Danio rerio: one gene and its partner. Each later gene encodes a partner of the first gene's protein in a complex. Links are inferred from orthologs where the notes say so. Each region holds a gene or a part of one and is shown in the gene's direction. Other genes may lie near its edges.

Region 1 (3,658 bases):
TTAATCTTGATTACTGATCTCTGGCTAATTTGGTTCTTCAAACAAGTTTGCGAATCAGATTGAAATGTCTGGATAAGCCAATCTGAGATCTTTGCGTGTGTTGGGAAGGACAGATCTATCAATCCTCATGATCAGCAATGCAACGATTGGCTGACGGCACAGCAACGTAATGACATCATCTGAATAATATTCAATCATCTGTGTGTGCAAACTTGCATGCTACATCAAGGAAATAACTGCACTTCAGTCAAGCCAGACGGCTTGTTTTGTGATTTAATGCTGGCTATAACACTCGAAGGACGGTTACGGCATGTTGAGACGTCGGCCGTCACCGGAGAAAGTCTAATCTTTCATTACTTTGTTGGGGTTGTGTTTGAAAGCTTTAGTGGCACTGTAGCCGTCCAAGGTACTGTTGTATAAGTTAAATTATAGCCTATATATGCACCAATAAACAGGTCAAATTAATGAATAAATAAAATAAATATGGATTCTTAAATGTCGGTTTAGTTTTTACTCAAATATATTAATAAAATGTTTTATAAAAATAAAATGATCAATTAAAAAAAAAATCTTACAATTCAGTTAAATATAGTTTGGACATTTAAGGTTGGCATGTAACATGTTTCTGTGTTTTTTTTCTTCTCAGTGATCTTTAATACATACTGGGTAGCTACGCAAAATATTTTCTAAAATGTCAAGCAGGATTTTGTCTATAGCTTTAATTATGAAGACAATAAAATATTAAAGCTAACAAAAATAAAATAATAAAAATGCAAAGATAAAAAGAGCAGAATTTTGCTAAATTATAAAAAATATTAGTTTTTATTTTACTTGATGCATTCGTTATTTAATGTTTGAATACTGAACAGCCATCGGAAGGGGGCGGGCGGTGCTGGATTTGTGCGTACCTTGGAATGAAATCCTGCAGGCGCCCCTGCCTGTCGTCACGCATTAAAAGTGAATGGGAAGCGTTGATGCTGACACCCCGTGTGAATGGGACGTAAGTGTAAAGCTGTCAAACAAACGTGAAAATGGTAATGTGTATGTGAGTCATGGTGCTGCTACTACCAATATTCAAAATAATGACTGCACTGATTGAGTGAGTGGCATTAACTAGCGGTGATGTGTGAAACTGTCCAGGTATTGATGTAATTTAAAGACGTGCTGCAAAAATGCAAATATTTGTATCGAGAAAACGTGCAGCAGCATTCTAGAATCCACTTAGCAGTGCTCAAAATGAGGATTTGCATTTACAAGAAATTATTCTACTACATTTAATATTAATCTTGCCGCTTTATGCATGATGCTTTTGTAAACAGCTGTGAAGCACTTGATTCAGAAGGTTCTAGAGCAGCTGATGGGAAAAGCAGTGTCAGTGGATGAAGAACAGGAGGAGGATGCAGCTTTGCCTCAAAAGGCTCAGTGTACCATTAGTGCTCTGTGTCAGTGGTATAAGACTGCTACCAAGGTAAGAGAAGACTAGAAAATAAACTATGCTTAACTGCAATAACATGTATTTACGTCTGATAGAGTAGTCTAAATGCTTCTGTTAAGTAATTGAGAGTGTGTTGTGCATTTGATTAGTTTATTTCGGTGTGCTGAGCATCTGTCAATAATCATTATCACTTGGTCTTTTGCAGAAATGCTCTCAGAAAAAAAATGACAATGGCTTGCGTCAGAGTTTGCCTGTTGTTGTGATCTTCAAAGACTTTGAGGCGTTCAACTCACAAGTCTTACAGGATTTTATCCACATCTGCAGGTGAGATTTGCCTAGTCAAAGGCCCCGTTTACACTGCCAGTTAAATGTGACCCAATTCAGATAAATTTCTGTAATTTAATATCTGTTATTTTACGGTAAATTTCCTTAATTTAATATCTGTTATTTTACGGTAAATTTCCTTAATTTAATATCTGTTATTTTACGGTAAATTTCTGTAATTTAATATCTGTAATTTTACAGTAAATTTCTGTAATTGAATATCTGTTATTTTACGGTAAATTTCTGTAATTTAATATCTGTTATTTTACGGTAAATTTCTGTAATTTAATATCTGTTATTTTACAGTAAATTTCTGTAATTTAATATCTGTTATTTTACAGTAAATTTCTGTAATTGAATATCTGTTATTTTACAGTAAATTTCTGTAATTGAATATCTGTTATTTTACAGTAAATTTCTATAATTTAATATCTGTTATTTTACGGTAAATTTCTATAATTTAATATCTGTTATTTTACAGTAAATTTCTGTAATTGAATATCTGTTATTTTACAGTAAATTTCTGTAATTTAATATCTGTTATTTTACAGTAAATTTCTGTAATTTAATATCTGTTATTTTACAGTAAATTTCTGTAATTTAATATCTGTTATTTTACAGTAAATTTCTGTAATTGAATATCTGTTATTTTACGGTAAATTTCTATAATTGAATATCTGTTATTTTACAGTAAATTTCTGTAATTTAATATCTGTTATTTTACAGTAAATTTCTGTAATTTAATATCTGTTATTTTACAGTAAATTTCTGTAATTTAATATCTGTTATTTTACAGTAAATTTCTGTAATTTAATATCTGTTATTTTACAGTAAATTTCTGTAATTTAATATCTGTTATTTTACGGTAAATTTCTGTAATTGAATATCTGTTATTTTATGGTAAATTTCTATAATTTAATATCTGTTATTTTACGGTAAATTTCTATAATTTAATATCTGTTATTTTACGGTAAATTTCTGTAATTTAATATCTGTTATTTTACAGTAAATTTCTGTAATTTAATATCTGTCATTTTACGGTAAATTTCCGTAATTTATTATCTGTTATTTTACTGTAAATTTCCATAATTTAATATCTGTTATTTTACGGTAAATTTCCGTAATTTAATATTTGTTATTTTACGGTAAATTTCCGTAATTTATTATCTGTTATTTTACGGTAAATTTCTGTAATTTAATATCTGTTATTTTACGGTAAATTTCTGTAATTTAATATCCGTTATTTTACGGTAAATTTCTGTAATTTAATATCTGTTATTTTACGGTAAATTTCTGTAATTTAATATCTGTTATTTTACGGTAAATTTCTGTAATTTAATATCCATTATTTTACGGTAAATTTCTGTAATATCCGTTATTTAACGGTAAAATTCTGTAATTTAATATTCATTATTTTACTGTAAATTTCTGTAATTTAATACTCATTATTTTACTGTAAATTTCTGTAATTTAATATCCATTATTTTACGTGTTTTTTTATACCGTAAACTGTAATATTACAGTTTTTTTTTTTTTACAGTGTAGGTATACTTAAAATGTGTGTTGAGACAAGTTGGAGCTAAACTCTGCAGGGAGCCGTGATTGGTGACCCTTGTCTTAAATGGAATAAAAATAAATTGTATATGTTAATGATCTGAGAATCTTTTATCCCTTTGCTTCATTAACAGCCGATATATCCAGGAGCTTCCGTTCATCTTTGTTTTCGGCATTGCCACATCTCCCAGTGCCATTCAGCACAGGCTTCCCCACTCTGTGTCATCTCTGCTCTGCATTGAGGTCTTTCAGTCTGTCTCCTGCACTCAGCATTTAGCCTCTGTTTTTGACAAGGTTTGTTATTCAGGTCAAGAGGTTTTTACATTAATCCAAACTCTTCTTTGG
Region 2 (3,658 bases), on another chromosome or scaffold:
CCCTTTTCGGACCAGATTCAGCTGCTTTGCTTCCGCGTTGTCCGTCTTTGTCAGATTTTGTACGCCTGTACAAACAGATGAGCTCCAACACACCTGCCACACAGACACGCTATATAGTGAGTTTTCATTCTAATATTTAACATTCAATGGTTTTGCTTATGTTTGGAGATTTGTCAGTATTTTGGTGTTATTATTAGGGCTATGCAATACACACACACACACACACACACATACTGTATACATTATGTATATATATACATAATTATCAAAATATTGCAGATGTATATATTGCAGTATACATGCCACAGTGTGCATATTATCAGTAATTATTAATAAAAATATTATCAGTTATCTAGATTTGCCATTCATAGATGTTTTGTGTTTTTATTATATATTTTTTAAACTACTGATAACATGTTTTTTTTTTATTTCAAATGATAATATTATTATCATTTGCATAATTTATTTGCAGAAAAAGACAACAGTTGAGTATAAATAATTAATATTTTTAGATCATTTTTAGTCATATTTTCGCCAACATTTGGTTAAATAAAATATATAGAATATTACATGTTGACCGCCTAAAAGGTGTCTTATTTTTTCCACACTTTTGTTTGTTTTATGCCATTGATGTTAAAGATAACATATACTGTAAGTTATTAAATGTCTCTGTAGGTTCTGGACCGAGCTGAACGCATAAGAGATATGGATTTCAGCCTGCTTCCTGCTCTTCTGCGCCTACAGGAACTGGTACACACACACACACACACACACACACACTCAATTTTGCTAATGCTTTACTATAACAGGGTTACAATCTCATCCATTTATAAAGAGGCCAATGCTTAATAAGAGCCACAAATTTTGTTAGAATAGAGTACATGTGGAAATATAATAACTTCCCATCATTGATGCATTTTCTATCTGTTGCAGGTAAATGATAATGTGACCATTATCTTACTCAGCGAAATAGTGTGGGAAAAGTTTCGTCCTAACACCGGCTGCTTTGAACCTCTGCTTTTTCATTTCCCAGATTACAGTAAAGGTGAGTGGCAGATTTTGATTATGCAATAAAGAGCTTTGTTTTTACTATATTATGTAATTGTACCACAAAATAAAAGTGTTTTATAAACATGACTAAAGATCAGATTTGTCAATTTATGTTTTATGTAACTAAGAACCTTCTACTTGAAACATCAAATTTGTGATGGGATTAAACTAGAACGGGCATTTGAGGGCTTTTGTAAAACCGTTTGTGCTTTCTCAATATAATCACAATGAGGTGAGTTTTAATACAGGTTGCAAACAAGGACAAGGACACTGTTAATATTTGGATGGGTGTTTGAAACACTCTGAAAACTTCTGTTTTCTGGTTTCCACAGTGGAGCTTGTGCAGATTCTGTCAAAGGATCATCACCCATCCTACACACCTGAGCTCTACGCCTCCTACATAAACATCTTGCTGGGGGTTTTCTTCTCGGTGTGCAGGGATCTAAGGGAGCTCAGGCACCTGGTGAGATCATCCATCCCTTTAAATTGTCTAGGTCTATAAACGGAGCAGTTGATGTGTAGCAGTTTTTATGATGTTGCAGGTAGAGAGTAAAACTTTCTCTTTTTTGCATCTTTCACTGCTTCATAAAGGACAGAATTGAGCAAGTTCTACTAAACTGCCTAATATTCTAAAATACACTCTTAATTTTTGTTTAAACAGGCTATGCTGAACTTTTCCAAGTTCTGTGAACCTTTGGAGAAAGGAGAAGGTAAACACAGCTATGCATACAGTTGAAGTCAGAATTATTACCTCCTGAATTATTAGCACCCCTGTTTATTTTTTCCCTAATTTCTGAGAGGATTTTTTCCACACATTTATAAACATAATAGTTTTAATAACTCATTTCTAATAACTGATTTATTTTATCTTTGCCATGATGACAGTAAATGATATTTTACCAGAAATTTTTCAAGATGCTAGTATTCAGCTTAAAGTTAACTTTAAAGGGTTACCTAGGCAGGTAATTAGGTAAGTAATTGTCTAATGATGGTTCTGTAAACTATCGAAAAAATATATATAGCTTAAAGGGGCTAATAATTTTGACCTTAAAATTGTTTTTTAAAAAAAGAAAAAAATATTTTATTCTAGCTGAAAAAAGCAAATAAGACTTTCTCCAGAAGAGAAAATATTATCAGACATACTGTGAAAATTCCCTTGCTTTGTTAAACATCATTTGGGAAATATTTAAAAAAGAAAAAAATCAAAGGGGGGCTAATAATTCTGGACTTTAACTGTACATTTAATAATATATTTATTTATTTTCTGACTTTCTTGACTTATTTACTTTATTTATTTAAGGGCATAGTTCAGGGGTGTCCAAACTCAGTCCTGCAGAGTTTAGCTCCAACTTGCTTCAACACCCCTGCCAGAAAGTTTTTAGGACATCTAGTAAGAGCTTTATTAGCTGCTTCAGGTTTGTTTGATTAGGGTTAGATCTAAACTCTCCAGGACACCGACCCTCTATGACCGAGTTTAAACACTGCTGGCATAGTACAAACCCAATGTTAACTCAACAACCAAAGCTTCAAAAAAATACTTGTCTGTCACAATTATGGCTGCATGATTCTGGCTAGAATGACAATGACAATTTTTTTTCTTTGCTTAAAATGAAGATCACAATTTTCTCATGATTCAGTAGATGTAAAATGAAGATTCACATCAGTAGGCTATTATTATTCTCAAACATATAGTAAAACAACACTAATAATATTAAGCCTACAGTATGTGTAACTCTACTATTGGTCAAAATGCAAACTTTTGTACAGACTTGGTATTGTGGACTTGAATAAACTTTAAATTTCTCCTGGTTATTAATGTGTAATAAAGTGATTACATCAGAATACAAGTATTCATAATTCTGAAGTTGAATTATTATGTTTGAGACATATGCTTGCAATCTGTCATTGACAACATTTTTTTTGGTAAAATTACCAGATTCCTTTAGTAGTTATACTGCTGCTGTTAAATGTTTTTCTCATGCACAACACCCTGTGTTTGATATGAAAAAAAAATCAAATGTTTGTCGTAAACATAACTCTAAAATGCGATATGATCGTTTAATTGATATGCTCTCTTTCTGTGTCACTTTAACTGCAGAGTGGTAAACGCGTAGTTCACGGTTAATTGGCTGAATCTTAAAAATGCTGGATTAAGATCGTGTTGTAGGGGGTTGAATCAAGATCACAATCTTTTTTTTTTTTTTTTTTTTTTTTTGGATTAATCGTGCAGCCCTAGTCACATTTTTATCAAAAACTGATACTCGATGGCAATATGGCACCTGGTACATATTTCTAAATGTTGCACTTGACCAAATCTAAACGCATATCATTAAAATAAGTCAAGATTTGTCCACAAATTGTCAGTACTGAACCAGGGCGTTGTTTGTTTCACAGTCAAAAGAACACGAGAAACTGAAAACAACAGCATTATCGAAGTAGGCAATAATCATCTTGTAATCATCTTATTTTTTGTTTTTTTCAGCCAAAGAGAGTGATATCCACAAGTTATGGAAGAACATCGAGCCCCATCTGCATAGAGCCATGCAGACAGTTTACCTCCGAGAGGTGTCCAGGTCTGTGCAGTTCATGTATGGTGTTTGAGGTTGAG

The links. Proteins that work in one complex are often made in the same cells at the same time.
Region 2: the proteins of orc3 (region 1) and orc5 are in contact, whole or in part, in a cryo-EM structure (PDB 7JPO), measured with the Homo sapiens proteins. The link is inferred for Danio rerio from reciprocal best matches to the Homo sapiens genes ORC3 and ORC5. Residues at the interface, in NP_036513.2 of Homo sapiens: Glu99, Val109, Met144, Lys145, Leu148, His178, Ser180, Met181, Asp182, Glu223, Asp232, Ile235, Ile236, Gln239, His240, Ala253, Thr254, Ser255, Pro256, Ile257, Ile258, Ile259, Arg261, His265, Ser269, Cys272, Ile273, Glu274, Leu275, Ser280; in NP_002544.1 of Homo sapiens: Asn62, Val64, Glu65, Phe67, Thr68, Arg70, Leu71, Gln75, Tyr129, Leu270, Arg271, Ser274, Ser275, Ser276, Gln277, Leu294, His297, Thr298, His299, Val300, Glu301, Leu302, Pro303, Tyr304, Tyr305, Ser306, Asp360, Tyr367, Arg373, Pro376.

Annotation. Positions count from the first base shown.
Region 1 is NC_133192.1:55,399,532-55,403,189, reverse strand, and holds part of orc3 (origin recognition complex subunit 3), read left to right. Parts: intron 1-1,319; coding exon 1,320-1,468; intron 1,469-1,640; coding exon 1,641-1,759; intron 1,760-3,447; coding exon 3,448-3,607; intron 3,608-3,658. UniProt on the Homo sapiens protein: Component of the origin recognition complex (ORC) that binds origins of replication. DNA-binding is ATP-dependent. The specific DNA sequences that define origins of replication have not been identified yet.
Region 2 is NC_133179.1:22,956,852-22,960,509, reverse strand, and holds part of orc5 (origin recognition complex subunit 5), read left to right. Parts: coding exon 1-116; intron 117-675; coding exon 676-750; intron 751-933; coding exon 934-1,045; intron 1,046-1,382; coding exon 1,383-1,513; intron 1,514-1,711; coding exon 1,712-1,760; intron 1,761-3,532; coding exon 3,533-3,623; intron 3,624-3,658. UniProt on the Homo sapiens protein: Component of the origin recognition complex (ORC) that binds origins of replication. DNA-binding is ATP-dependent. The specific DNA sequences that define origins of replication have not been identified yet.